Macaca mulatta: one gene and its partners. The protein of the gene in region 4 binds, or shares a complex with, the protein of the main gene of each other region. Links are inferred from orthologs where the notes say so. Each region holds a gene or a part of one and is shown on either strand. Other genes may lie near its edges. The genes, in order: SCTR, OR51E2, GPR21, guanine nucleotide-binding protein G(s) subunit alpha isoforms XLas, FZD3, HRH2 and GPR3.

The links.
Region 1: the proteins of guanine nucleotide-binding protein G(s) subunit alpha isoforms XLas (region 4) and SCTR are in contact, whole or in part, in a cryo-EM structure (PDB 6WZG), measured with the Homo sapiens proteins. The link is inferred for Macaca mulatta from reciprocal best matches to the Homo sapiens genes GNAS and SCTR. Residues at the interface, in NP_000507.1 of Homo sapiens: Gln35, His41, Val217, Phe219, Thr350, Tyr358, Phe376, Cys379, Arg380, Asp381, Ile383, Gln384, Arg385, His387, Leu388, Gln390, Tyr391, Glu392, Leu393, Leu394; in NP_002971.2 of Homo sapiens: Arg174, His178, Tyr239, Leu240, Leu243, Leu244, Ala245, Ser247, Phe248, Ser250, Glu251, Arg252, Leu320, Lys323, Thr326, Gln327, Thr329, Arg339, Arg342, Ser343, Leu347, Tyr388, Leu391, Asn392, Gly393.
Region 2: the proteins of guanine nucleotide-binding protein G(s) subunit alpha isoforms XLas (region 4) and OR51E2 are in contact, whole or in part, in a cryo-EM structure (PDB 8F76), measured with the Homo sapiens proteins. The link is inferred for Macaca mulatta from reciprocal best matches to the Homo sapiens genes GNAS and OR51E2. Residues at the interface, in NP_000507.1 of Homo sapiens: Gln31, Gln35, Arg38, His41, Asp215, Val217, Phe219, Tyr358, Phe376, Cys379, Arg380, Ile383, Gln384, Arg385, His387, Leu388, Arg389, Gln390, Tyr391, Glu392, Leu393, Leu394; in NP_110401.1 of Homo sapiens: Met58, Tyr59, Asp120, Arg121, Ala124, Ile125, Cys126, His127, Pro128, Leu129, Arg130, His131, Ala132, Leu135, Asn136, Asn137, Ile220, Thr223, Val224, Leu227, Pro228, Ser229, Glu232, Lys235, Ala236, Thr239, Cys240, Lys294, Thr295, Lys296.
Region 3: the proteins of guanine nucleotide-binding protein G(s) subunit alpha isoforms XLas (region 4) and GPR21 are in contact, whole or in part, in a cryo-EM structure (PDB 8HMV), measured with the Homo sapiens proteins. The link is inferred for Macaca mulatta from reciprocal best matches to the Homo sapiens genes GNAS and GPR21. Residues at the interface, in NP_000507.1 of Homo sapiens: Gln35, Arg38, His41, Val217, Pro321, Asp323, Arg342, Asp343, Leu346, Arg347, Thr350, Tyr358, Cys359, Pro361, Phe376, Cys379, Arg380, Asp381, Ile383, Gln384, Arg385, His387, Leu388, Gln390, Tyr391, Glu392, Leu393, Leu394; in NP_005285.1 of Homo sapiens: His61, His62, Thr64, Arg127, Ala130, Ile131, Thr132, Pro134, Leu135, Thr136, Tyr137, Asn138, Thr142, Pro143, Ile214, Ile217, Cys218, His221, Thr222, Asp224, Ile225, Arg228, Gln229, Arg231, Phe232, Arg249, Tyr250, Val253, Leu254, Asn308.
Region 5: the proteins of guanine nucleotide-binding protein G(s) subunit alpha isoforms XLas (region 4) and FZD3 are in contact, whole or in part, in a cryo-EM structure (PDB 8JHI), measured with the Homo sapiens proteins. The link is inferred for Macaca mulatta from reciprocal best matches to the Homo sapiens genes GNAS and FZD3. Residues at the interface, in NP_000507.1 of Homo sapiens: Lys34, Tyr358, Gln384, His387, Leu388, Tyr391, Glu392, Leu393, Leu394; in NP_001399840.1 of Homo sapiens: Arg232, Lys318, Ser321, Glu322, Leu397, Val400, Lys408, Lys413, Leu414, Phe417.
Region 6: the proteins of guanine nucleotide-binding protein G(s) subunit alpha isoforms XLas (region 4) and HRH2 are in contact, whole or in part, in a cryo-EM structure (PDB 9IXJ), measured with the Homo sapiens proteins. The link is inferred for Macaca mulatta from reciprocal best matches to the Homo sapiens genes GNAS and HRH2. Residues at the interface, in NP_000507.1 of Homo sapiens: Gln35, Arg38, Ala39, His41, Asp215, Lys216, Val217, Asp343, Leu346, Arg347, Thr350, Tyr358, Phe376, Arg380, Asp381, Ile383, Gln384, Arg385, His387, Leu388, Arg389, Gln390, Tyr391, Glu392, Leu393, Leu394; in XP_006714928.1 of Homo sapiens: Arg116, Ala119, Val120, Met121, Pro123, Leu124, Arg125, Tyr126, Pro127, Val128, Ile205, Val208, Ala209, Gln212, Ala213, Arg215, Ile216, Ile219, Ser220, Trp222, Lys223, Lys231, Ala232, Thr235, Leu236, Leu291, Asn292, Arg293, Asp294, Arg296.
Region 7: the proteins of guanine nucleotide-binding protein G(s) subunit alpha isoforms XLas (region 4) and GPR3 are in contact, whole or in part, in a cryo-EM structure (PDB 9LYB), measured with the Homo sapiens proteins. The link is inferred for Macaca mulatta from reciprocal best matches to the Homo sapiens genes GNAS and GPR3. Residues at the interface, in NP_000507.1 of Homo sapiens: Gln35, Arg38, Ala39, His41, Val217, Phe219, Asp323, Asp343, Leu346, Thr350, Tyr358, Cys359, Phe376, Cys379, Arg380, Asp381, Ile383, Gln384, Arg385, Met386, His387, Leu388, Gln390, Tyr391, Glu392, Leu393, Leu394; in NP_005272.1 of Homo sapiens: Met75, Arg134, Ser137, Leu138, Tyr139, Ala141, Leu142, Tyr144, Tyr145, Glu147, Ile216, Ile219, Val220, Arg222, His223, Gln226, Ile227, Leu229, Gln230, Arg231, His232, Lys244, Gly245, Thr248, Arg300.

What each region holds. Positions count from the first base shown.
Region 1 is NC_133417.1:17,985,522-17,989,596, reverse strand, and holds the start of SCTR (secretin receptor), read right to left. Parts: upstream 2,801-4,075; 5' UTR 2,534-2,800; coding exon 2,462-2,533; intron 1-2,461.
Region 2 is NC_133419.1:71,235,958-71,240,073, reverse strand, and holds the start of OR51E2 (olfactory receptor 51E2), read right to left. Parts: upstream 2,801-4,116; 5' UTR 2,606-2,800; coding exon 2,597-2,605; intron 1-2,596. UniProt on the Homo sapiens protein: Olfactory receptor. Activated by the odorant, beta-ionone, a synthetic terpenoid. The activity of this receptor is probably mediated by G-proteins leading to the elevation of intracellular Ca(2+), cAMP and activation of the protein kinases PKA and MAPK3/MAPK1.
Region 3 is NC_133420.1:24,744,776-24,748,982, reverse strand, and holds GPR21 (putative G-protein coupled receptor 21), read left to right. Parts: upstream 1-1,407; 5' UTR 1,408-2,012; coding exon 2,013-3,062; 3' UTR 3,063-3,933; downstream 3,934-4,207. UniProt on the Homo sapiens protein: Orphan receptor.
Region 4 is NC_133415.1:111,699,117-111,702,335, reverse strand, and holds the end of guanine nucleotide-binding protein G(s) subunit alpha isoforms XLas, read right to left. Parts: exon of another isoform or gene 2,521-3,219; coding exon 2,466-2,520; exon of another isoform or gene 2,333-2,465; coding exon 2,259-2,332; exon of another isoform or gene 2,162-2,258; coding exon 2,103-2,161; exon of another isoform or gene 1,999-2,102; coding exon 1,878-1,998; exon of another isoform or gene 1,732-1,877; coding exon 1,601-1,731; exon of another isoform or gene 1,494-1,600; intron 1,346-1,493; coding exon 1,278-1,345; intron 1,008-1,277; coding exon 861-1,007; 3' UTR 501-860; downstream 1-500. UniProt on the Homo sapiens protein: Guanine nucleotide-binding proteins (G proteins) function as transducers in numerous signaling pathways controlled by G protein-coupled receptors (GPCRs).
Region 5 is NC_133413.1:30,306,517-30,310,032, forward strand, and holds the end of FZD3 (frizzled-3 precursor), read left to right. Parts: intron 1-2,103; coding exon 2,104-2,317; 3' UTR 2,318-3,016; downstream 3,017-3,516. UniProt on the Homo sapiens protein: Receptor for Wnt proteins.
Region 6 is NC_133411.1:184,605,080-184,609,228, reverse strand, and holds the start of HRH2 (histamine H2 receptor), read right to left. Parts: upstream 2,801-4,149; 5' UTR 1,045-2,800; coding exon 1-1,044. UniProt on the Homo sapiens protein: The H2 subclass of histamine receptors mediates gastric acid secretion. Also appears to regulate gastrointestinal motility and intestinal secretion. Possible role in regulating cell growth and differentiation.
Region 7 is NC_133406.1:213,563,329-213,567,354, forward strand, and holds the start of GPR3 (G-protein coupled receptor 3), read right to left. Parts: upstream 2,801-4,026; 5' UTR 2,654-2,800; exon of another isoform or gene 2,544-2,653; intron 1,610-2,543; 5' UTR 1,605-1,609; coding exon 612-1,604; 3' UTR 1-611. UniProt on the Homo sapiens protein: Constitutively active G-protein coupled receptor that maintains high 3'-5'-cyclic adenosine monophosphate (cAMP) levels that a plays a role in serveral processes including meiotic arrest in oocytes or neuronal development via activation of numerous intracellular signaling pathways.

The DNA of each region.
Region 1 (4,075 bases), on a different chromosome or scaffold from region 4:
CTATATGGAGTAGAGGGAGAGTGGTAATAAGCAATTTGCCCTCAGTGACCTCCCTCCATTAGGAAGATGCCTATAATTCCCCTCGAGGGGGAGCTTCTAATGAATAAAAAATTATTTGAACACACTTAGATTTCAGAATCAAATGTCTGACCACCCAGAGTCAAACAGAAGGAAAGCAGGGCTCCAGAGGCTGGGAAATATTCCAACCAAAGTAGGTCAGTTTCACTCCTATTTATTACAGGCGTTCTCAGCCAAGAAGTGTGAGATATAAGGTCTACAGAAGCCATAAAGTAATCCAAGGGCCACAACTTATACACAGAAAACCATCTTATGATTATGTAAGACAGTAATGTGCCATGGCTCATGCCTCTAATCCCAGCACTTTGGGAGGCAGAGGCAGGCGGATCACCTGAGGCCAGGAGTTTGAGACCAGTCTGACCAACATGGAGAAACCCCATCTCTACTAAAAATACAAAAAACTAGCTAGGCATGGTGGTGTATGCCTGTAATCCCAGCTACTCAGGAGACTGAGGCAGGAGACTCACTTGAACCTGGGATGCGGAGGTTGCAGTGAGCTGAGATCGCGCCATCGCAGTCCAGCCTGGGCAACAAGAATGAATTCCGTCTCAAAAAAAAAAAAAAAAAGAAAAGAAAAAAGAAAGAAAGAAAGAAAAAGAAAAAAAGGAAAAAGAAGGGGCATAACAGACAGAGCCCTGGATGGTTGGGAATCAAGAGACCTGGGTGCTAACCTTAGTGGGTTAAGTGGGGTGTGTGGGGCTAGTAGAGCTGCTAGTCCTGGCTCTGCTACTAACTTGCTGATGTCGGGCAGCTCCCTTCTCTCTGAGGGTCTCAGTGTGCTCATTTTTAAAATAAGGGATTGGGGCCAGAGCCTAATGAAGCATCCTTCCAAGGTACACTGAAGACTTAAACCAAGGGAAGCCTCTCATTTTCCCCTTCCACTTATTCCTGTGATAATCCAGGAATTTTCTTGAGACAAGAATGCAGACTGAACCTCAGTCCTGCACTTGAGGTACCAGTTATGACAGTCTCAGAGTCACTGCAAATACTTAAGAAGGAGGCTGGGAGGGTCCCAAGGAAGGAGCTATTGCCTCTCCTACCCCTAGCCACGGAATAACACACCTCCAGGCTCTACCTGGCTTGACACTGTCCCCAGTATCCCAGTTGGCATTTCTCCAAACTGGGAGTCGAAACTCATGAGTGCATGCTGTTGCTCTAGCATCTTCCAAGGCCAGCACTGCCACTGAAGAGAGGAGGCTCCACCGTGGAAAGGGAGTTCCAAGCAAGCTCCAAATTGCACTCATCCCAACTACTGCTGCTGAAAGTCTTGGGGCTACCAGAAAAATGAGCATCTCCTGAGTGTCAACATTGGGAGCATTGATTTTCCTTATAATCCAACCGGAGGGGACTACGGGAAGACAAGGAGGTTGGACACCAGGAGACTTGCCCAGGACAGAGATCAGAGACTCAACTGGGTCCCCAAGCACTTTCCCTAGGAGCTTCTTGGAACAGACACCTTGGGGACCAGTTTGGAATGCTAGTGGGAAGGGATGATTCTGGAATCTGGCCCCCACCTCTAACCCCCACTCCCTCCCCATTCCTTCCTTTCTGCTGGTCTGGGTGGGGCCACTCTCTTTATCACAGATCCCAGAGCTCCGAGAGGCCGGAGACTCCCAGGAATTTCTGTAGGAAAGAAAAACAAACCACCCATCCTGCCGCTATTATTATTAGTAGTAGTATTTTCCTCCTCCAGCCGCTTGCCAGGACCTGGCTTTGGGGAACAGCAGCACCCAGCAGCCACCAGACACGCAGACATTAGGGAGCCGCGTCCCACACGAGAGGGTGTGGGGAGAGTGGCAGACGGTCCCATCGCAGACCCGGAAGCTCTTGCCGGAGCTCCCTTCAGGTTTTCCCATCTGCAGCCCGTGAGTGTGAAAATGTCAAGGTTTGGGGGCAGACTGATACTGATGTGGGTTGCAATCCTCTTCTTCTGACTTGGAGCAAGAATTGTTATTCCCCCTCTCATTTCCTTTCCTTGTCTATAAAGTGAGGATGGTAATAGCAGCCTCGAAAGGTGATTGAGAGGTTTCAAGGAAAGATTGGAGGCAAAGCGCCCAGGACACAATAGGCACTGCCCGGGGCGGCTCCAGAATTTCCGTCTAGGAGTGTCTCAGAAGCCAGGCTAGAGGAAGGGGTGGGTGGGGGGCACGGGGATTCATCTTGGAGCTGCCTTCGCGTGGCGCGCACAAGGTTTTTCTTTGGGAAGGGGTCCCTGCGGAGAAGAGCTGGGAGAGATTAATGTTGGGAGGATTGACAGGGAAGAGTCCCCATTCCTCAGCGGAAGATCTGCTAGTCCCCTCCACCCGCATCCTGCCAAGGCCGGAGAAGCGGCGAGACTGTCGCTCCCTGGGTCCCCTAGCCTTCAGAAGGGGGCAGTACTCACCGAGTGCGCGGCGCAGACGAGCAGCACCCGCAGTAGTAGCTGCTGCAGCGGCGGCGACAGGTGGGGACGCATCGTGCCCGCACGTTCCCCGAGGGCGCCCCGACGTCCACCCGCCCGTGCCCTTTGCCCACTCGGGAGTTCAGCGCCCCGCGCACGATCCCGGGCTCCGGCCGGCCGCTGCGCCCAGAGGAGCCATGGCTGAGCCACCCGACCTGCGGCGGGCCCGGGGACTGCTCCTCCTCGGACCAGGTGGCCGCGCGCGCTCAGCAGCCCAGCCCATTGATTAGGACGCGGCGGCTCCGGCGCGCTTCCTCCACCCGGCGGGGGACTGGCTGGGGGCCGGCGCGGAGGCCAGCAGGGGAGGAGGCAGAGGGAGGGCGCGGGGGCCGGAGTAGGCTCCCGCAGTCTGGGCCCAAGCTGGAGGAGGCCAGGAGAGGGCACGCTGGCTTAGTCTACCACGCGGCAATCCCGCACTACCCCAGGTCCAGAAAGAGCACTGTTTCTGGAGTCCACGGACCGAAGGCGCAAGCTCGCTAGGGGGTCGGTGGGCAACTTAGGTCACCTTTGTAAGCCTCGGCTTTCTCAGCCCTAACAACACATCTGAGAATACCCACTCTCAGACTGAAAGTTGTGACACAGTCAAGGCCCATTGCATCTATTCTCCCCAGACAGCTACTTGCACTTTATTTCCGATTTTCTGTATTTTTTTCTTAATTATTGAAGTCATTAGCTCCCATTCCATGAAGTTTCACTCCGATGAGCTCCTCCTTTGATGATGACCAAGGAAGATCTGTGGTATACTCAGGCATCTGGGGACTGTCCTGAGGATGAACCGCCTGGGAAGCTATTTAAGCCTCAGGCAGATAGTCCCAGTAGCCCACTCCAAGGGTGCTCCCTATCCTGGAGTACAAGGCGCCCCAGATGGCCTTTTTTTTACTGTCACATAAAAAAGAGGGTTTCACCATGTTGCTCAGGCTGGTCTTGAACTCTTGGGCTCAAGAGATCCTCTTACCTCGGCCTCCCAAAGTGCTGGGATTATAGGCATGAGCCACTGAGTCCAGCCCTAGATGGGTCTTGTAAACTCAAGTTTTCTTTGTCTGCACTGGTGCCTACTCCCTTCCCTCTTCTCTCTCCCCCTTTCTTTATCTTTCTCCCAGGCACTTGAAGTACATCAGCTCATTTAATTCTCCCTCAAACCCCTAGGTGATATGATGCCCATTTGACAGAGGAGGGCATTGAAGGTGGAGGAGGTTTCATTACATGTCTGGGTACTGCAACTCAGAGGCTCAGACAGGAAAGCCTGGATCTACCCTTCCATGGCTGACCTGACTCTCTGTAACTGGCCTCTACTCAGACGGCCATGCAGCTAGTAAAGTAACAATGTGCTCTTGTCCTTAGCAGCCTTCCCTACCAGAAGAGACTGTTAATAAATCAAGGCTGGTAAATCCCAGAAGAAATAAAAGGGAGGAAAATCCATTCAGCTTCTAGGTCCAAAATCAATGCTCAGTACACATCAAACCTAAAGTATACATAATCACCAACTTCCTTCTAGAAACTCTTTCTACATAAATACTCACCCAAGGGCCTAATGAAATGTGCAAGGATGTTTGCGGA
Region 2 (4,116 bases), on a different chromosome or scaffold from region 4:
TGTGGGAAATGAAGCTAGAGGAAGCAGCAGAGGTCAAATCATGAAAATCCTGAATTTCGTGGAAAGTGTAATGAACTTAAATTTTTGCAGAGCATCAAGAGCCAGACATTTCTAAACATTTTATTCACCTTTTATTGACCACTGGAAGCAAGGAGCTTTGCTTTTAATAAATAAATCATTTTCCATCTCTTCTCATTTAATGCCAACAAAATTCCTTTCCCTCTTTAGTATCTTGTTTAGTACCATTGGTTGCTTTTTTGCAGTCTGCAATACTCAAGTTTTACTCTAACTCAACAATAAAAGCTTCCCACAGTTTTATATAGATATTTCCAAACCATTCATTTCAACCAGGATATATTGAATAGTTTTCATAATTAGCCTTGTGCTTTGATAGTGATAGTGAGGGATACAAGACATAAACCCTGTTTCTTTCTCAATTTCCTGCTGTATCTTTTATAAGGATAAAAATTCCTTTGGAGAACAATCTGCTTTTGTTTATTATTCCTTCACCTTCAGTAACAATCTGAATTCTTTCCCTAATGACTCTGAAAATCCTCCAAATGATGTCACCCGTGATTTTCTACATGCCAAGTCCAAAAGTTTAATCTCAGATTTGTTTCTCTCTCCCTCATCTCAACTTTCGGCAATGTTTACCTCCTCCTCCTTGAAACTTTCTCCTTCATTAGCTTCAATGATGGTTATTCTGTGAGGTGTTTTTTTTTCTTTTTTTCTGTTTGTCAAACAATGGTTTTGTTCTCTACCTTATAAATTGTGGGAGTCTAGAGGAGTCTGCTTTTCTCCCAAGAAGTATCTCTTCTTTCCTTGCTTTTCATATGCTCTCCTTGAGATATCTTGGTTATTCTCATGGCTTTAAATAGCACTTATATCCAGAAGACTCATAAATCTGCAATCTAATTATGGCATCTCCAGAGTTCTATGTTTTAAAAGTTAGCAGAATCTTTAATGCTGTGGCAAAGTTTCTGGTTTTAAGTGTAAAGGTAGTAATGAAATGTGAAAATACAGTGAAGCAATCAAACCTGTAATTTAGAAACATAATTGATAGCACTTTGGAGAACAAAGCTCCATGCTTCACGTGGTGAATAAAAGGTAAATAAAATACTATGGCAACCCCTGAGGGACATCTTCACCCATCATCACTCAGTTACTTCAACCTCTGTATGAGACAAATAGAACTCATTCTCTCCTCCCTTCCAAACTTGGCTCTTCCTCCTGCTTCATTTATCAGCAAATGGCATCGAACTCTAGCAAATCACTGAATTAAAATTACTACCCACCATATGCACACACATGTGTGCACACACACACCTTCGTCTTTCTCTCTCTCATCCCTTACATATAAAGATTAGTTTTTAATTGATTCTACTCCTGAAATGCAAAAAATGAGAACCTCGGGAGGTCTATATAAGAAGGCCAAGCAATTGTTAGTAGTGGGTATTTGAAGCTATTATTTCATTGTGTTTTTCTTACATTGAAAAAATCTTAAGTGTTTATATCCAAGACTAGAGGGGGACTAATGAATATTCTTAGAAGGAGGCACTAAATTTCCCCCAAGCTTCTCTTTTGTGCTGCCTTCACTCTCAAATCTTTCCGACCCATCCTCTGCAATTCATACATACCTTCATTTTCTCTCTTGCGAAATAAGGTATATTCTCTCAACTAATTTTCCTGCCTACTCAGATTATGATGATACTCTTCTTTCACTGCACTATTATAAGCTATAGCTTGTGGCTCTCTTAATCTGCTGAACTAGACCGTATAGTGTCATCAGTATTCTCCATGCTATTGGCAATGGTATGGCTATCGTGTGTAACTGACCTGAGTTCAGATTCTAGCTCAAACACTAACCAGTTTTGAGACCATCTACACCATTAATAAAAATATTACTCATAAAAATAGCAACCATTTACTGGACACTTGTTTTGTGAACATTATTGTCCTTAGTGCTTTATAAGCATTATTTTAATTCTTAGTATATCGTCATGTGACAAGTATTATTAGATTCACTTTAAATTAATTTTTCTGGTAAAGACACTGAGTATCAGAAGTTCTGAAACATATTTGAAATCACACACAACTAGTGAAAGTCAGAGCTGAATTTTTAACCCACGTGTTTTTAATTCCAAAGCTCATGCTCTCAAAAACAATTGTTTTTCTGAAATCTACAAATAATACAAACTTTCTGTGATCCAGTTTCTTCATCTATAAGACAGGATATGCACTGTGTCTAATACCAGTAGCTGGCATGCAACGTGCTCGAAATTGGTAATTTTTCATTTTTAGTAATAGCTATTGGGCATAGAAATGAGATTCACTGACTGTGATAAATATATTAGCACACTAATTAAATCATTTGACGAAAAACAAGTTATCCAACCTGTATCAGGCAGAACAAAATACCCATTCTCTACCTATTTCCTGAGAATAAATAATTCTGCAAATTCTACCATCCTCCTCAGCCCACCATCCCAACATCTAATCTAATTCTGCACATTGTGAAGAAATTATTCCCTGTGGGTGAGAAAGTCCAATTCATCTAGAGTCAAGCATTTTCCTTGAACAAAACAGTTTTACTTACAGAGCCCATACAGCAGTCCGGCCTGTTCCTTTCAGGCTGACTCAGAAGGCTGAGAGGCTTTAGATTCCAGGGGAGGGCCAAGCTTTCAAATATGAGGAGACTTATTCCAGCCTGATTGGAGACAGGCACAGAGCTGAGAGGCCAGTTCCTGGTGGTGGTGCTACTAACTCACTGTGTCTTCAGGGTGTGGAGATTCCCAGAAGACTTCTTTTGCCTCATATAGTCCTTTTATATCCGTTTCATTATGCAATTACTTATGGTGGCTATGTGCTTTATGGGCTGAGGTAACTTTTTGTTCATGTGTCATTTACTCAAAAGCTTTTTTATTTAACAGCTTTATTGATATATAATTCACATACTATAAAATTCACCCATTTATAGTGTATGATTCAATTGTTTTTAGTAAAGTCACAGAACTGTGCAAAAAACATCATCACAATTCAATTTTAGAACATTTTCATTACCCTTAAAAGGAACCTCATAATCACTAGCAGTCACTCTGAAGGAGATTTTAAAAGACAAAATACTGTATCAAATTGCTAAATGGCATCTCCTATTATGAGTGAGAGTCCAACTCTAGCCCTTAACTCCTCAGTATCTATTATTATTCACAGCAGCATGGTTTCATTAGTCTGCTTGTGGTTCTTTGCAGCAGCAGTCTTTCTCTTATAGATAAAAAATAATTCATTTACTCATCCATACATATAACCAGTAAATATTTCATAAGAATGTCCCATATTCTAAACATTATGCTCAGTGATAGAGTTTTTTTTAAGAATACACCATAATTCTTACTGTTTAGGATTTTAGTGTAGAAGATAGGTTAACCAATAATTACGTGTTAACCAATGATAAGGTTATCCTAGAGGCATGAACCAAATGTTTGGTGAATACGGTAGGTAAAAAAGTCTTAGTTCACAACTTAGTTGTGCATAAAATACAGTTTCATTTATTTTTTGTAATTTTGACCTGTTTTATATTTTGAAGTCCCAACCTACCAGGTTGAAGAGAATTAGTCACAATAATTTGGGGTTCTCCCTACTTGTAGTCTAATTTTGAAAATCTTGTATTATATCAAGAAAAATTGTGGGTAGATGGGTGATTGATGTCACCTTCTGTCAGGTTACTATTGCTCTCATTAGTCTTTAATAAATAGAATGCATAGATTGCTATAAGTTGTCCATCTTGTCTACTTAATGACCTCTTTAAATCCTTAGATATTCCCACTAATTTTGGACCACTCTTCGGGCATGTGGGACTTGGATTCATTCTCGGTTTCTGTCTCTTACATCCTGCATTTAATCCATCAGTAAATTTTGTCAATCTCTTTGAAAAATACGACCAGAAATTGATCACTCTTTATCATCTCCAGAAATGTCACCTTTATTTAAGTCACAATTATCTCTCACTTGAGTAATTTCAGTAGTTTCCTAACCATTCTCCCTGCTTCCGATATTATATCCTCCCCACTATCAAGTCTGTTTCACTACTGAAAATGTGATGGCCTGAGTGATTTTCTT
Region 3 (4,207 bases), on a different chromosome or scaffold from region 4:
GGCCATTTGTCTGTAATAAGAAAGCATGTGTATAAAATGAATTAAAAATGAAAGTTGGATCACACATTTTACTCAGTTGCCTACCTCTTGGAAAGCTTTCAAATGATAGCATTTGTTTATTGTCTTTTACTCTGCTGGATACTTTCAATTAATCCTTCTAAATACTAAAATTACACATTTTCATAGCACCCAACTCTGTTACCTGAAAATTGTCATCATTTATGACATTACTAGGAAAACCACAATATAATCCCAGTTTGCATTGTTTTAAATAGGCAGAAACAAGATTGTATATTCTAAGATACAAAGGCTTATTTGTACCATGAAACCTCCTGTAATATCCATGCCTGAGTAGAAGAAGGTACATTTACTTTTCTATCTTTTGTTTGTATTCTTGTATACTGCTCAGCAAATTAGAAGCAAGAAATGTATCTCAAAACTATAGGGTAGTGTCAAATATGGGAACAATGTAATTTCTCTGTGCTATTTCTGTAGTATTCAGAATGGGAAATACTTTACTTTTCTCTTGAAAAAGTGATTTTAAAGTTTCTTGGCCAATATTCAGTGAATCATGAGAGACAAAATTAATGGTGAATAGCCTTCTAGCTAGAACTTCTTGTGCAGCTGAATTATGATTGTCAGTTGCCATATGCCATACACTTAAAGGAGGTTAATATACTTCCTTTCTTTAATATTGCTCTTTGTTCTTTGGGAAAATGCCATGAGAAAATAGGAATTACCACTCTGGCAGTGTGTTTCAGTCTAACTCCTGACACCCTGTTCTGCTCCTGCCCCTTCTCCTTGCTAGCAGCCTGAATTCTGCTTATCTACTAAAAGGGGGATTCCAGACAGACGAGGAAACAGCTTTCAAATGAGGCACTGCAGGCATAGCAAGCCATTCCCACACTGTGCAATCTGGAAATCAGGGGGCACCTCTCTGACGATGAATTCCAATTAGTTGCTAAAGATTCCGGAGTGTGTGCACATACAGGCGTTTTCTTTCCCCTCCCCCTTTCTTCTTTTTCCCAAGCCCCCTCTTCTCCCTGTTTCCCCTCCTACTCCTTTATCCCCTCCCTTCGTGTCTCAGTTCTGCAGTACGCGAGTTGAAGCACATTCCTGCTTTGCAAGGCTTTCTGTTAAGGATGTATTGTGGCTTTTGTTTGGATTGCAGCATGCAGAATTACAGGTAACATTCTGAAATTGAACTAAACAGCAAATTCTGTTGAAATGTTTTCAAAGAGGCAAAATATTATATTGGAATCAATGAAGAAAGTAAATTATTTTGGCTATTTTTATTAGTGGTAATTGTAGTGAAAGGTTTTCATAAATATTATAAGCAAATTCCCTTTTTCCCCCAAGTCTCAAATGAAAGGAAATGGGGGTAAATTAATCTGACTGTGATTGGTTTTGTTTTATGCTGATCTTGAAAGCTTGATGTTGCTGCTGCTCCTCTATACAGTACAGATCAGTTATGTGGGGTGCTATTGAGGGTAGCCATGAATAGTGGTGCTAGTAGGGGTGGAGTGGGAGGGATGATGCCAGCCTGAGCTAGCCAGGTTCTTTGATTAGGGCATTGGATGTGAAATGTAAAATGCTCTCTCCTTTTCTTCTATCAGCTGTTCAGAGGAGACTCATTACAACTCCTGCTGAAGCTCCTAATCTTCTTCCCTTCTCTTCTACCCTTTCCCCCTACCCTCACTTGGCCTGAAGACGTTGTCCCCAGAGTTTACGTTGCTCCCCTGGTGCTATGTGTATGGTGAACCTGGCGCTATGGCCACGTCTGGGACTGGCCAGACAACTACTGCTGGCTCTCCTTATTCCAGGAAGGATTTAAAGGGGAATTGCACTGCAGGCAATGCACCAGAGCAGCAGCATCGGGAGCTTGGGGACTAAGGCTCCTCTGGCATTATTACACACATGCAAAGCTGACCGCAATGACAGCAGCTGCTTCTTTGAACTGTTGGCAGCAGCCAAGCGGCAGCATGAAGTGACAGATCACTCCTGAGCTCAAGATGAACTCCACCTTGGATGGTAATCAGAGCAGCCACCCTTTTTGCCTCTTGGCATTTGGCTATTTGGAAACTGTCAATTTTTGCCTTTTGGAAGTATTGATTATTGTCTTTCTAACTGTATTGATTATTTCTGGCAACATCATTGTGATTTTTGTATTTCACTGTGCACCTTTGTTGAACCATCACACTACAAGTTATTTTATCCAGACTATGGCATATGCTGACCTTTTTGTTGGGGTGAGCTGCCTGGTCCCTTCTTTATCACTCCTCCATCACCCCCTTCCAGTAGAGGAGTCCTTGACTTGCCAGATATTTGGTTTCGTAGTATCAGTTCTGAAGAGCGTCTCCATGGCTTCTCTGGCTTGTATCAGCATTGATAGATACATTGCCATTACTAAACCTTTAACCTATAATACTCTGGTTACACCCTGGAGACTACGCCTGTGTATTTTCCTGATTTGGCTATACTCGACCCTGGTCTTCCTGCCTTCCTTTTTCCACTGGGGCAAACCTGGATATCATGGAGATGTGTTTCAGTGGTGTGCGGAATCCTGGCACACTGACTCCTACTTCACCCTGTTCATCGTGATGATGTTATATGCCCCAGCAGCCCTTATTGTCTGCTTCACCTATTTCAACATCTTCCGCATCTGTCAACAGCACACAAAAGAAATCAGCGAAAGGCAAGCCCGCTTCAGCAGCCAGAGTGGGGAGACTGGGGAAGTGCAGGCCTGTCCTGATAAGCGCTATGCCATGGTCCTGTTTCGAATCACTAGTGTATTTTACATCCTCTGGTTGCCATATATCATCTACTTCTTGTTGGAAAGCTCCACTGGCCACAGCAACCGCTTCGCATCCTTCTTGACCACCTGGCTTGCTATTAGTAACAGTTTCTGCAACTGTGTCATTTATAGTCTCTCCAACAGTGTATTCCAAAGAGGACTAAAGCGCCTCTCAGGGGCTATGTGTACTTCTTGTGCAAGTCAGACTACAGCCAACGACCCTTACACAGTTAGAAGCAAAGGCCCTCTTAATGGATGTCGTATCTGAAGTGGCTCAGTTACGGGGTTCCCCTGTGTGTGTGTGTGTGTGTGTGTTTTATCTCTAAGTATTCCTCATTCACTAGGAAATCTGAGACAGAATACTTTGACTCTAAGCAATAGCATGCAAATTATTCGTACGGATACCTTCTAAGTTTGTAGAAATGGTTTTCAAAAGTGCTTTTGAATTAGAAGACTTAAGATCATGAAGACAAATTGCTGTTGCTTTCAATTTTTGAAATGTCTTGGAAATGACTACAGTTCTCAGATTTAGAATGAATAAAGCCATATCTAACACCTCTTTCCAGCTGGCATGACTGAACCTGAGTGTGAAAAGCGTCAGCATTTTAAAAAGTCATCATTTTGTTGTCACTTTGTGGGTTATTTCCAGCTATTTAGGCTTCATGTGCAATTGATTTCTTCTAACAGGGAATAGTAAAATATAAATTAAAAGGTTTTAGAAATTATTTTTTATGTATGCCAAAGCATAACTACACTGCAAGTTTCAACACTGTCATTTAGAAAGCCAAATGTTCTATGTTTTATTCTCTTGAGAGAATTCTCAGTAGGGTGAATAATGTGAGCACATAAACACTAATTTTAGAATTTTACAGTGAACCATGAAGCAAAAGTGCAATCAAATTATACAGTTTATGAAAAACTGTGCTACTTTTTGTGCCATACTTCACAGAGATCTAAAGATATGTGTGCATAGAAGTGATCATGTTGTAGTATTTTTGCCTGTGCCTTTGTGTTATGTCTATATTTAGAATATCTGAATTGTTAGATTTATCTTTTATGGCAAAATGTGTTTAAGCTAAAAAATAATTCAGTGATAGGCTGTTGGCTGTACATTTTATAACAGTGACTATGTACAAAAATGTGTCTTTAATATTGTCTGTTCTTTCTATTCAAAGACTTCCGAAATATTAGAACATCAGGGAGAAGGGTATCTGTCATAAGCAACTGAGTCAGAAAGTATCCCATAGTATACTGATTGTTTTTTAAAAATATAAGGGAGCTGAGACATTTTCTTTGTGGTTAAATGGAATCAACTAGTTATTTTTGAAAAGTATTCTTTCAGTTAGTGCTAAGGAATCCACATTTGAAGAGGGGAAGGGGAAACTCTTAAGTCTCTTATTGCTATTCTCTTTC
Region 4 (3,219 bases):
TTCATTTTGGTGTGTGCAATGAGGTAGGGATCCAGTCTAAATTTTCCCCAAATGGCTACACCATTTCTTGAATAACCCCATTGATTTGAAACGCGGCGCTCCTGTATTTCTCCACATCATTTAGTCCCTATCTTATAGCAAAAAATACACTACTTTTCTTAGGAAGCCTGGGTCAGCAGGCAAACTGTGTGATGATGTAATGGCATAAGTTGGCAGAATCTTTGGATAGGATGGCAGTGATCAAAATGTAGAGGTGACTGGGGCATAGTGGTCCACTATGGGGTAAAAGTTTGGGAGATCAACAGGAGTGGACTTTTCCTATTGTCTGAAAATTATTTCAAGACACCTACATTTTACAGTCACCAGAAAACATACAGTGGTGAGATTTTATACCCACTTCACCTTGGGGCCTCCCAACTTTTGATGTAAGGGCCAAGTCAAACCATGAATGACAGGAATCTGCGCAGAACCACAAATAACTCACGGGAGTCCCATCATTCTTTGCTCACATTTAATTTTTATTTTGATTTTTTTTAATGCTGCACAACACAATATTTATTTCATTTGTTTCTTTTATTTCATTTTGTTTGTTTGCTGCTGTTGTTTTATTTATTTTTATTGAAAGTCAGAGGGAACTTCTGTGGCCTTTTCTCCTTTTTCTGTAGGCCGCCTTAAGCTTTCTAAATTTGGAACATCTAAGCAAGCTGAAGGGAAAAGGGGGTTTCGCAAAATCACTTGGGGGAAGGGAAAGGTTGCTTTGTTAATCATGCCCTATGGTGGGTGATTAACTGCTTGTACAATTACGTTTCACTTTTAATTAATTGTGCTTAAGGCTTTAATTAAATTTGGGGGTTCCCTTCTTAGAGCAGCTCGTACTGACGAAGGTGCATGCGCTGAATGATGTCACGGCAGTCGTTGAACACACGGCGGATGTTCTCAGTGTCCACAGCGCAGGTGAAGTGAGGGTAGCAGTAGTGACGCCCATCTCCACTGGCAGTGCTGATCCTCTGCGGGTACAAACGCAGGGACTCGTCAGTGACACCCTCGCCAGGAACCACCCTATCACTGATGGGGACACCTACCAGGGACGGCTGTTGGCCAGTCTCTGATGTCATATGAAAACGAAAGCAAAAGGAGGGGTGCAAAGAACTCAAATCCACACTGGATGTGCGTGAACTAAAACCATGGACCTGGGTAGCTGAACCCCTGAAGTAAATTTACATCCATGAGAAAAAGAGGAGGAGCAAGAGAGGAAACTAAAGACAGGCTCAACTCACCAGAAACTCATCTCGAATGAAGTACTTGGCCCGGGTCACGCGTGGGTCCTCTCCGGGCTCGGGAGTAGCTATAAAAAAAAGGGAATATATATTAATGTAATTAAAAAGTCAAGCAGAGCTGGGGTGCTAGCATCATTGTAGCTCCTGAAGTCTTCAAAACCCTGATTTTTCCATATGAGAATTAATGCAAGTGTGTTTTTCTTGCTTCTCTTACAGATGCTTTATGGTTTGGTGGTGGGAGGGGGATGGCGGCTTTCAGCCCTACTGTTTGAAAAAGAACCACTGCAATGAACAGCCAGCAAAAGAGTGGAAGCCATACACACCATCCTCAGGAGTAGTGTAGCGAGCAAATTCTGGAAAGTAGTCCTCAATCTTCGATTTCCCAGCAAGGACTTTCTCAGCGAGCAGATCTTGCTTGTTGAGGAACAGAATCACAGAGATGGTGCGCAGCCATCTACAAGAAGGGAGGCCGTGTGAATGCCCGGGAGAAGCGCGCTTTTGGCCAGGGGTCTGGAATGCTTGCACAGGGTTCTTTTCTACAAACAGTGCAGACCAGGGCCTCCTGGGCAAGCGCAGGGGGTGGGCGGTCACTCCACAAACCTGTTGTTCCAGATGCTCTTGAAGAGGTTCAGAGCCTCCTGCAGGCGGTTGGTCTGGTTGTCCTCCCGGATGACCATGTTGTAGCTGCTGCTGGCCACCACGAAGATGATGGCAGTCACATCTTAACCAAAGAAAGCAAAGCCAAGAGCGTGAGCAGCGACACTGATCCCTAACAACACAGAAGCAAAGCGTTCTTCACGAACAGCCAAGCCCACAGCGTCCTACCATTGAAGCACTGGATCCACTTGCGGCGTTCATCGCGCTGGCCACCCACGTCAAACATGCTGGTGGAGAGGAAGACAGCTGGTTATTCCAGAGGGGCTGGGGTAAATGTCAAGAAACCATGATCTCTGTTATATAAAAAGGTAACAGTGGGCTTACTGGAAGTTGACTTTGTCCACCTGGAACTTGGTCTCGAAGATTCCAGAAGTCAGGACGCGGCAGCGAAGCAGGTCCTAGAACAAAATTGAGGTCAATGGATCTCAGCAAAGCCAATCGAAATAGTAATAATTTCCAATCTAAAGCAAAAGTCTGGGGTAGTTTGGGAAGAGGGCTCAGGGTCCTCTGGTGGTGAAGGGTTTTGCACACCTGGTCGCTCGGCACATAGTCAGCCTGCTTGATCACATCGATCTTGTCCAGGAAGCTGGGAGAAAAAGAAAGGCACATGGGGTGTTCACAGCGTTCACATTAATTTGCCAACTATTTGTGTCTCTCTACAAGGTCAGGCTCAACGGAAGTGACCGTCCCACAGTTATGCAGCACTAAGTCAATGGCATATTTGCTTGTGTGTTGGTTACATTTATAACTCAAAGCTGATGCCTTAAGAAAGTTAGGCCAAATGGGATTTAAGATAAATAATTTTAGGAATCAGGGAACTCTAGATGCGTCTAGCAGCTAGCCTGCGGCCTCGGTGCAGTGGGGCCACACAAACAGCACAGGACAGTGGTGGGGCTTTGTTCTTCATGTTTATTTTTTTCTATTTTTCTTTTTTCTTCTTTACTTAGCTTGTTTATTCCTGTTGCTCTCTGGTAATATTCTTGATTTTTAAAAGGTTTTATGCATATCAACCAGTAGAGAAAGGACCCCAAAACCAGGCTGACCTATCACAATCTGTGCCATTTGGTAATGCTTGACAAAAACATTTCAATTTTCAAATTTCCTGCCTAAAATGGCAGTTTGAAAATTGTATACCTCTGTATCATTCAGTTAAAAAAATAAATAAATAAAGTGACATTCTTAAAAACATCAAGGACTTTCTCCTCAAGGGCACATGAGATTGTTTTAGTTACTGAGAATCTGTAGCCCTTCCTTTTCACTTTTTAAGAATCTCATTGATTAAAGG
Region 5 (3,516 bases), on a different chromosome or scaffold from region 4:
GGTAGCCATTGAGAGGTGAAAGATCTCCAAATCAGCTGCCAAGTCATATTTGGAAACTTGGAAAAATCTTCTACTCAGTTTTAAGGCAACAACCATTATGCAGAATAATAATTATTAGACTAGAATAACAAGCCCATTCTGAAATGTTTTCATCTGCAAACATTGTCATTATTTACCGAAACATGCAGAACAAATTTAAAACTGTTTTAGGTCCTAAATATGAAGTTATCTTTTAATGAATGAGAAATAACATTTTACCTATTAACATGAGAAATGTTTAAAATATTTATCTTTTCATATTTAACTTTTCTTTTTTGCTTTACTGAAACAAAAATACATGTTTTTGTTTTTTGAGACAGAGTGTCGCCCTAGTCGTCCAGGCTGTAGCAAAGTGGTGCGACCTCGGCTCACTGCAACCTCTGCCTCCAAGGTTGAAGGAATTCTCCTGCCTCAACCTCCCAAGTAGCTGGGATTACAGGTGCCCACCACCACGCCCAGCTAATTTTTGTATTTTTAGTAGAGACGGGGTTTCACCATGTTCGCCAGGCTGCTCTTGGACTCCTGACCTCAGGTGATCTGCCCTTCTCAGCCTCCCAAAGTGCTGGGATTACAGGCCAGAGCCACTGCGCCCGGCCAAAATACATGTTTTTTTGAAAAAATAATTTTCAAAGGACTTCTCAAGTTTTAAACTCTGATCTAATGAAAATGTTACTAGAAGATCACCTCTGTGGTGTATGAATCTATCTTTAAATTTTATAAATAATTCACACTGAGTCATGAAATTTGTTACAATTATTTTTGTGAAGGAATGGTGGATTAACGCTTTCTGACAGCCAACAGATCTGCAGCTGCTTATGATTAGTTTTTTTGATGACTGTTTAAAAAAAAAAAAAAAACCTAGCCTGCTATATATTATTTTTAGAAACGTTACTTAAAACTTAATCTTAATTAAAGTTATAGATTATACTAAGTTTTCTTTGAGGTTTATTATCCTAAATCAAATACTTTTACAAAATGGTATATGTATAGGTGTAAGTATAAACAAAAAGTATTTTAAACAAATACTTCTTGAGGCACTAGGGATTAAAGGATAAAATATGGTCCTTACCTTGAAAGAGCACACTATAAAGCCAGAATCATTGATAAATAGCATGCTAGCTCCATAAGCAAAGGCCTAATAAAAAAGTCATAATTGATTTTCCTGACCTTGACTGGCCTAGAGCTAATCTTATTCCTCATGGCAAAGCTCAGTGAGTCAGGACTGCAACAAAAGAAAATTTAACAGCTCCATTGTTGCTTTCCAAGATAAGTGCAGAGAAGGAGACAGCCTGCAGTTAGCAGAGGGAGCCCAGCTCACAAACTCCAAGCTGGGTCTAGAGCTGAAGGTACAAAGAATTTACTTTAGCCAGAATATAGGTTACAAAGTGTTAGGACGTAACTTCCAAGCAGATGTAGCTTCCATGAAGGAGCATCTTCACAGCCTGAAGCCCTGATGAGAGGTAATTAAGATAATTTACAGGTAGTTAATTCAGTTGTTAACTGGGCTATCTGGAAAGCAGCTTTCGGCACATACTGTCATCATTGCTTGCCAGTTTATTCATTTATTTATTTTTTTAGGTTATACCGATTTCACCTCTGATTTCATATTCTCCCTCTTCCAATCAGAGTCTTTTAATAAAATTTGAGTGTACCCGTCTACTGATCATAGCCACTCTTCTTGGCTGCCAGGGACAATGCCACATTTCTTCTATTTGTTGTTACCCCTCTCCCTGAACCCACCCTGTTCAAAACTCATTTGAATGACAAAGGTATCCATATCTAGTGCAGCTTTAAATCGATCAGCCTTATTTAATCTTAGCTTCTGTCCTTTTGCAGAGAATGAATGGAACCTTAATTCTGAGTGGATTATTTCTTCTCTTTTGTTGGCCATGTCAATAATTCTACAGTGTTAACGAAGTTAAGCAATCAAAAGTTGGTTATTACTTTCTCATGGTTGATTTCCTAATAATTTCCCTTACTGAGGCGTTTTTATGAAAATTATTAGTGTTATTAATTTTCTAGTGTGTTCTGTTACCCACTTCAAAATAAACTCTCTCGTGACAGGTACACGCCCTGCAGTTACAGAGGAATGGAGGAGAGACTACCTCATGGCAGCATGTCACGACTAACAGATCACTCCAGGCATAGTAGTTCTCATCGACTCAATGAACAGTCACGACATAGCAGCATCAGAGATCTCAGTAATAATCCCATGACTCACATCACACATGGCACCAGCATGAATCGGGTTATTGAAGAAGATGGAACCAGTGCTTAATTTGTCTTGTCTAAGGTGGAAAACTTGTGCTGTTTAAAAAGATTTTATTCTTTGCCTTTTGCATGACTGATTGCTGTAACTCACTGTTAACATGCTTTCAGTCAACTACAAATTGTGTCCACTGGAAAGGTAAATGTTTGCTTTTTATATTGCATCAAACTTGGAACATCAAGGCATCCAAAACACTAACAATTCTATCATCACAAAAATAATTCGTCTTTCTAGGTTATGAAGAGATAATTATTTGTCTGGTAAGCATTTTTATAAACCCACTCATTTTATATTTAGAAAAATCCTAAATATGTGGTGACTGCTTTGTAGTGAACTTTCATATGCTGTAAACTAGTTGTGAGATAACATTCTGGTAGCTCAGTTAATAAAACAATTTCAGAATTAAAGAAATTTTCTATGCAAGGTTTACTTCTCAGATGAATAGTAGGACTTTGTAGTTTTATTTACACTAAGGGAAAAAAGAACTGTGTTTTTAAACTGTAGGAGAATTTAATAAATCAGCAAGGGTATTTTAGCTAATAGAATAAAAGTATAACAGAAGAATTTGATTAGTCTATGAAAGGTTCTCTCAGCATTCTCTCGAAATAATCTTCATCCAGAGATATTCAGGATTTGGATTAGCAGTGGAATAAAGAGATGGGCATTCTTTCCCCTATAATTGTGCTGTTTTTCTAACTTTTGTAAATATTACTTTTACTGGCTGTGTTTTTATAACTTATCCATATGCATGATGGAAAAATTTTAATTTGTGGCCATCTTTTCCCATGTAATAGTATTGATTCATACAGAACTTAATGTTCAAAATTTGCTTTGTGGAGGCATGTGATAAGATAAACATCATACATTATAAGGTTCTTTGTGGTAACCACACTTACAAAATGGCAAAACGTTTTCTCTGTATTCATTGTTGTATTTTTCTATAGTGAGATGTGATCTTGCCAAAGCCACCAGACCTTGGCTTCCAGGCCCTCCTATAGTGAGTTGATTGTCTGCACTTGCCTTGCCCAATAGCCAGTAGGCTACAGCTTTTGCCCCACACCCTTATTTTCAGATTCTGGATCATTCTTGTTTACAACTGAAATATATATAACCTCAGTCCAAAGTGGTGATTGATTTGATATTGGAAAATCACTGTAGCTAAATGAAGCATGATTAGTAGTCTTACTATGAATATCATTTAATCTTAA
Region 6 (4,149 bases), on a different chromosome or scaffold from region 4:
TGTCCCACTCCACACCTGGAGCTTCAGGGGTTTGTCTTCCTGTTGCCTGGGTTCTCGGCTTTGGGTCCTGGACAGCTGAGAGGCGTTGGACCTCACAGAAGTTTTGTGGGAGTTGCGGTTGGCAAGCCTGCAGCAGAAGAGCTGTTGGTACCCGGTACGGAAGTCTCTGTTGAGCGCAGCATACAGGATGGGGTTCAGGGCTGAGTTGGCATAGCCCAGCCACAGAACGATGGCTTCTAACACCTCATTGATGGCATCATCCCCTCTCAGCCCACGGTACACAAACGCAGTGAAGTAGGGAAACCAGCAGATGATGAAGGCCCCCATGACGGCGGCCAGTGTCACTGTGGCTTTGTGCTCCCTGATGGTGGCTGCCTTCCAGGAGCTAATGTGATTGATCCTCTTGGCCTGGTCCCGGGCGACCTTGAAGATGCGGTAGTAGGTGATGCACATGATCAGTAGTGGTAGGTAGAAGGTGACCAGCCCATCCACCAGCCCGTACACTTCATTGACCTGGACTTTGCACTTAGAGGTGGTATGATTGCCCTTGCTGGTCTCGTTCCTGCTGTTCCACCCCAGGTGGATAGACAGGAAGGACAGGGTAATGGAGATGACCCAAATTAAGACCAGAGAGATGGCGACCCGAACTGGGGTGACCAGCACAGGGTACCGCAGTGGGTCCATGACAGCGCAGTACCGGTCGAGGCTGATCATGAAGAGGTTGAGAATGGAGGCTGTGCAAAGCATCACATCCAGGCTGGTGTAGATGTTGCAGAAGACCTTGCCAAAGCTCCACTTGCAGGACAGCTGGTAGATGGCAGAGAAGGGCAGCACCAGGAGGCCGAGGAGCAGGTCAGTGACAGCCAAGGACACGATGAAGCAATTGGTCAGGTTGCGGAGCCGGCGGTTCAAGCCCACGGCCAGACAGACGACCACATTGCCAGCAATGGTGATGAGGATGAGGACCGCAAGGACCACGGTGATGGTGATCTTGCAGGCGGTAGAGTCCAGGCAAAAGGAAGAGGCTGTGCCATTGGGTGCCATGCTGGGACCCTATGGCTCGGTCCCCTGACCAGGGCCCCTGGCTGCTGCTTCTCCGCTCCCAATGTGACAATTATGCCAACCACTGAATTCCAGGCTCCCAACAGAGCCAAAATGTGTCCAATTTTTTTTTTTTTTTTTTTGGCCAGGGGGTGGGGAAGGCTTCAATGACTGACTCTGGGCTGCTTTTCTAGAAATAAATTAAGCAACACCTTCTAAGGTGTTGAGAATGAATATGAATGAAGAATAGAGAAAAGCAAAGCCTTGAAGCCAGGTTCATGTATCAAACTCCAGTCCTCAGATGATCCCCTGAAGAGCTAGCTTCCTCCCGGGACTGGGGTAGGTCTCCACTCCCCGGGTTTTGCATAGAATCCGAGGCACTGTCTGGCGGTGGCTTTGGTGTCATACAGGATGGGTCATGTGGAGACACAGCTGTATCCCTCTCCATAGCTGGTGCCTGCTCCCATCTGCGTGATGGAGTCAAGTATTGAGGATCTCCCTCTCTGCAGTCAGTGGAGGGCAGGAGCTAAAAAGGCAAAGGTTGGATGTTAAGCACCTTGAAACCAGATAGAAAGCATGACCCGATTCAAGATGTATCCTTCTACTAGATCTCAACCTCTTGGCAAGACCCCAGGAAGTATGGGGCCAGTCTGGATACCTCTCTTTGGGAGGGACTCGGGCAATCAGGATACATAATGGGGAGGCAGAAGGGAGGCAGGATGCAAGGGGTTAGATACTGAGACTTGTGAGAAGAGTTGGAAAAGCTGGAAGTGCTTGCACTGAGAAAAGAAGGATCTAGACACAGACTTTCAGCTCCACTAGAAGAGGGCCTGCATCTGTTTGCTCCTGGTGCCTGGCCCCACAGACAGACATTAAGCGTCTGATGAATAAAGGATAAAATGAATGAATGAATAAACAAATGTAACGAATCTACTCCTCTGAAGTGCTGAGAACAGTATCTGGTGCTGCTGTTGGGCAAAATGTCTTCATACTCTAAGGTGGTGGCCGGCAAACTTTTTCAGAAAAGGGTCAGGTAATAAACACGTTCTGCCTAGCAGCCTGTGACGGCTCGGCTCTGCCTTTGCAGTGAGAATGCAGCTATGCAGATGACGTGCAGACAGAAGAGCGTGGCTGCACTCCAACAAAACTTCAGTAATGAACACTGAAATTTAAATTTCATATCATTTTCACGTGTCACAAAAATCTCTTTTTGATCTTTTTCCAAAATTTAAAAATGTAAAAACCATTCTTAGCCACGGGCTGTACAAAGCCAGGCAGAGGGCCAGATTTAGTCTGCAGTTCGTCACCTGTCATCCACGCCACCCCTGCTCTGAACACATCTCTAAATCTTACTGGTCTTACTTGGCAGAACACGTGATCCCACATCCAGGTCAGCAGGGACAGAACTCACTCAATCCTTCTAATGGTTGCATAAGAGTCTGTGGGGAGGCTCACCATGAATAGGTTTATCCTATCTTCCCCATATCACCCTCTCACGGGCATTTGGGTGGTTTCTCCTTCCTCCCTTCCTCCCTTTGCACTATTGAAGTAGTGCAAACACTACTTCAATAAAGTAACTGCATGTGCAATGCCTCTTGGTTAAATAAGAGCCCCTGGTCACCAGATAATCTCCAAGGCGCCCTCCCAGTGGTGGCTGTATATGATTCCAGCTGGCCAGAAACAAGCGGAGGCCCTGCTCCACGCCCCGGTCCTTCCCTACCAGCTTCTCCTGGTTTTTCAGAGAGCAGGCAATCTCCTGAGCTCTGAGAGTGTGCAGAAATCGAGTTGACGGTGGAACCTCCTCTCAGAAGCAAGCTAATCTCCATAAAACATAAATTAAGCCTCTCCCAGGCTCTTGCCTGGAGCGGTTTGCAACCTGAATACGAGAAGCATCATTTAATCATAACGATTGTGTTCGTGCAGGGATCAGGGTTCCCGATCACCTTCTGCCACCCTCCCTGGCTCAGCCACCAGTCCTGGCAGCTGAACCTCCGGGTATTATTTTTAGCAGATCTTTTCATTATATAAATAGCCCAAACAGCATGGGTCTCACCGCCACACTTAATTAACTTTGGAGGGGGTAGCAATCAGGGTATTTTTTTTGAGAATCCCTATTTCTCATCAAAATTTTTTCTGACTTACCCCAACAGCCGGGTATAGGTATTTTGGCATCAGGCTGACATTTGAGTTATGTTTGGATGAGAGGTCTTCAAATCTGAGTGAACCAGCCTCTCCTATAATTAGAAAATTCTTTCCTTCTCTCCCCTCCCACCCCTCCTTCTCTTCCTCAGTCCTTTTCAACACACATTTCTCTGAAAACCCAGAATGTGTCAGATGCTTCTCCAGGTGCTGGGAGGACAATGATGACCAAAACAGCTGTGAGTCCTTTCTTCATGGAGTTTTCAAAGAAGAACCACTTCTGCTGTATTCCTATTTAAAGCCCAGCTCCCGTAAATTCTGGTCACCTTTTTCGAGGGCAGGTGATTTTGTACGGCGCTCTGTCTCCCTCCCATCCTCTCCTGTCCCATGTGGGCAGAAGGATTGCCTTAGAGGGCCACGTCATCCCCTTATGGAGCAACCTTCAATGGCTTCTCTTTGCCTGTGAGGAAGAATCATGTCATCCTTGTCACCATCGTTGTCACCATCATAGCTAACAAAAAATAGTCTCTCAAACTGTCCTTTCAAACTTCTCAAGTGATGACAGGCTTATTCCAGTAAGCCAAGTACCCCTGAGGTGTACAGAAAGGGCCAAAAATCAGGGCCACCACACACCTGCGCCCCTGCACCAGGAAGTGACTGCTGCTGACCATTTGGTATGTGGGGGCCTCCTGCATTTCTCATGCCTCTGCATGCACATGGACACACCCCGGGCACTGTCCATACACAGCATACACGCTACTGAGCAACTGCTTCTCCTTCACTTCTTTTAAAATTTCCAATATATAATGGATGGCCCTCTAGGTTGCTTAGATCTAAGCCATCCTTCAGGGAGCCCAGCCCACGGCAGTGCAACTGCTGTCATGAGGATATGTGCACAAGGATGTCCACTGGCAGATGTGCAATGGCAAGAATGGAAAACAATCTGAGCTGCCATCTGCAGGGGGAAGA
Region 7 (4,026 bases), on a different chromosome or scaffold from region 4:
CCAAAATAATAACAAAATACGTGGTTTCTCTTTCTCCCTTTCCCCCCTCCAGGAACTGAGGTCAGAAATGGGGGTGAGGGGACAACGGGTACCCTGGTATGGCCTGGATATCAAGGTGTGGGTATCTTTTTCCCCCCTTACCACCCATAAGTAAATTTATAAATAAATAAATCATAAATAGACACTCTCTTTGTATGTGCGCGTATATAATCTTTCTCTCTCCTATTTAGGCAACTATGTGACTAATCTCTCTGACTCTTTAGTTCAGAAATTCAAACGTAAAGTGACATGGTTAAGGTCAAGTATGGGGGAGGAGGGACATCTGGGACTTGGAATGGCACTGTAAAACTCCCAGCATTCCGGAATTGCAAGCCAGCTGGGCTGTGAGACATTTCTGAGTAGATCCCTGACCACCTGAACATTCTGGAACCATGGAGCCAGCTGGACCCCCACAGGGATCTGAACAAGAACCTTCAAACACCCAATGTCGTAGAACTCCAGAACCAGCTGGGTCTGGGGGGTGTGGAGCTGGGGGTTTGGAAAGAAGCCCTGGAGAGCCTAACATTCTGGGATTCTGTAGTGATCAGGGCTGAAGGATCACGAAGACTCAGCTAGACATCACTGGGGGAGCGGGATCGGAAGGGTATCTTGGAAGAGGAACAGCAGCAGCAGACAGCCCACAGCACTTTCTGCACATCCTGGTTGCGGAAGGCATAGATGATAGGGTTGATCATGGAGTTGTAGGTGGCGGGGAGCAAGGTAAGATAGGTGTAGAGAGGCGGAGAGTGGGCATCACCCAGCAGGCAGTAGACAGTGAAGGGCAACCAGCAGGCGGCAAAGGCTCCAAGCACCACGGCCAGTGTGGCAATGCCCTTGCGGGTGGCCACATAGTGGGAGGCAGGCAGCAGGTGCCGCTGGAGGGCAATCTGCTGGGCATGGCGGCAGACGATGCGGCAGATTTGGGCGTAGAGCTGCAGCATGATGCCAAACACCATGAAGAAGGCAATGGCCAGGACTACCAGATGGTTCTTGGAGAGTGGATAAACCACGCCACATGTGGTCAGGCCATCCAGGCAGTTCCAGGCCATCACAGGCAGCAGCCCCAGGCCCAGGGCACCTCCCCACACTAAGGCCAGCATCACATAGGTCCGTGTCACTGTTGTCTCTGAATAGTAGGTGAGGGCATTGTACAGAGAAAGGTAGCGGTCAACAGTGATGGCCAGTAGACTGCCGATGCTGGCGGTAAAGGCCATTGCCAGCACGCCAACCAACACCAGGCTCATCTCCGCTGAGCCGATGCAGAAGACAGCAGCAAAGTACAGGACCAGGCCCAGGCCTGCCAGCAGGTCTGCCACGGCCAGGCTGCCCACCAGCAGGAACATGGGGGCACGGAAGGCGGGCGTGCCCACGATGATGGCCACCACTAGTGCATTCTCGCAGGACACCAAGGTGCCTGAGATGCAGAGCACCACATCCCAGGCCTTAGGTGAGGGCAGCGGTGCAGCTGGACCTGTGGGCCCCTCTGCTGGGCCCACGCTGCTTACATTCACGTTGCCTGAGCCAGCTGAGAGCCAGGCCAGAGGGCTGCCTGCACCCCACATCATGGTACCTGTAGGAGAAAGGCCTTGTGAGAAGCTGACCAAGCTGGATGATGCGAGGTGGGGTCTGGAGGGGGTGAGGTGCCCCTCAGGATACATGGTGGGAGTCTCTCCTCAGGATACCTTATAGGGTCCCAACGCCTTATCCCCACATTCATCCCCTGGGGCTCCTCCCAGGATACCGCTGTCCTCTCCAATGCCCCCAGGCCTCTAAACAGGGGTCTCTTCCTGGGGATCCCTGTCCTAGGTCCTGCACGTCTCTTTTTCCATGTGTGTGACCAGAGGAGAGACAGAAGAAGGGGTACTATAAGCGGATGAGGGCCATAGGATCCAGGGGATGCCCCCAAAGGCTCAAGATTGGGGTAGGGAAACATCTGGAGACTGAGCGGCTCTGCTCCCTCCCATCAGAGATGATGATGCTAGCTCGTGCCTGAGTCTCCCAGACCCCTCACGATTCTCAGTACTGCCAGCCTTAGACTCCGCCCCCGGGGAATGCGCGTGAAGCTCCCACCAGCCACCACCCCGCACTCCCGCGGTAACACCTGGGAACTCAGACCCCACCCGCCACCCTCCCAGGCTTCTGTCCCTGGCTGGACCCTTCTTTCTGCCTGCATCTCTAGGTCTCTAGGCAGACCCCCCTGCTGGAAGCCCGGATCCCTGAGTCAGATGCCTTCTTCTGCCCGGACACCTGGATTTGGGGCCTGACTCCGCCTTCTGTCTAGATACCTGGATTCCCAAGTCGGACACCTCCTGCTGTTCGGACGCCTGGGTCCCTGCCCCAGACGCCTCCTGCCGGCTTAACCTCAGATGACCATCAGTCCCTCCAGGGCCTCGGGTCCCTGCAGGAATGCTCACCCTTCGCCGGGTCATCCAACTGAGCCCCAGCACTCAAGCACTTAGGCCCACGTCTGCTAACCCAGAATCGCCTAAACCCAGAATTCCCACCTGGAATTCGGACCCTGGCCGGCCGCTAGGAGTCTTCCGCCGGCCCAGTGCCCCAGCATCCTGCGTGCCCTCCAGGACCCCTAGTGTCCGCGGCGGGGCCCACTACTCACCGCTCAGGACCAGGCGCGGCCAGGCCGCGGGGAGGCTCCGCTCGGGTCCTGGCGGCGCAGGGCGTGCGTGGACCCCGAGAAGCCCCCGCGGCCGCGGGAGAAGCGGCGTGAGTCACCCCGTCCCGCCCCGCCCCCGGCCACCGGTTCGGTGACGTCAGCGGCCCGATTAGCCAATGGGCGCGGAGCGCTGGGGCGCAGAGCGCGTTGCGCGGCATAATAATGAGGCCTCGCGCCGCCCGCTCCCCCATTCATAAAAAGCGACTGTGGCTGCGGCCCCGCCTCCTCCCGAGTCGGCCCGCGCTGTCCTTGACGCGGCGCCCTCTGCGGGCCGGGGGTTTCAGCGGCGCCGGTGGGAGAGCCTTGTAGTCTCAGGGAGGCTGCTGGGAACGTGGTGGAAGGGGACCCGGCTAGGCTGTGGGGTGATGGGACCCTTGGGTGGCAGAGAGGCTGACGAGATCCAGATGACGAAGGAAGAGCTTGTGATGGGGCTGGTTGGGCGTCCCTGGTGAGGATGACAGGGTTGCCAAGATGATGGGGCCCTGAGGTGACGATGACGGGGAGCACGAGGGAGCGGGGAGGTGGGTGGCAGTGACATTAGCATGGTGACAGAATCTTGGGGGGCGTGATGGCCGTGGGACACCAACGGTAGAGAGGAAACCCCCAGGGCAACCATGGCAGTGTGACGGTGACTCTGCAGCAGGGAGGAGTTCAGGGACCCCGGGATGGCAGAGGCGGCAGCCTGGGAACATGGAGTGTCCAGGTGACTTCAGGTCACTATGACCCTGTCAGAAGGGCTGGGGTACTGAAGCGACAATGCTAAGCCATGAGGGCCGTGGGGCCCTGGAAGGAAGATAGCAGGTGGCCGTGGTGAGTGGGCTCCAGGGTGAGGGGCACAGGGTAGAGCGTCCGGACTGACAGTGACCAGGCAGGTAAGTTGGTGCCAGGGCAGGTCCCATGATGCTGGGGCTGGGATAAGAGCTGGGTGACGTCACTCATGTCAGCCCAATAGCGCCCTCACAGCACCGGAGGGGTGGGCCTGGCAAGATTTCAAAACCTGAATTATTTATTCAAGGATCTAGAAAGCCAGAGGGGAGGGAGTCGGGGGTGCACTTCCCCGAAGCAGGAGGAGATGGGGAGCCGGGAAGAACTTGGAAGCAGAAAGCCTGGCAGCTCAGTCCTCAGGGCAGGCCCCTCTCAGCCTCTCATTTTAGGCATCCTGATGGGTGGAGCAAGAAGGAGCTCCCTCTTCCCCAACGCCGACTGCCCTTAGTCCAGGGGAACCACTCTGGGCAGATTTCTCCAGATGTGACAGATGTGGCCAGTCCTGTGGCAGGGGGACTGACTGCTCTTTCTCCCTGTGTTTCTTGCCTTGA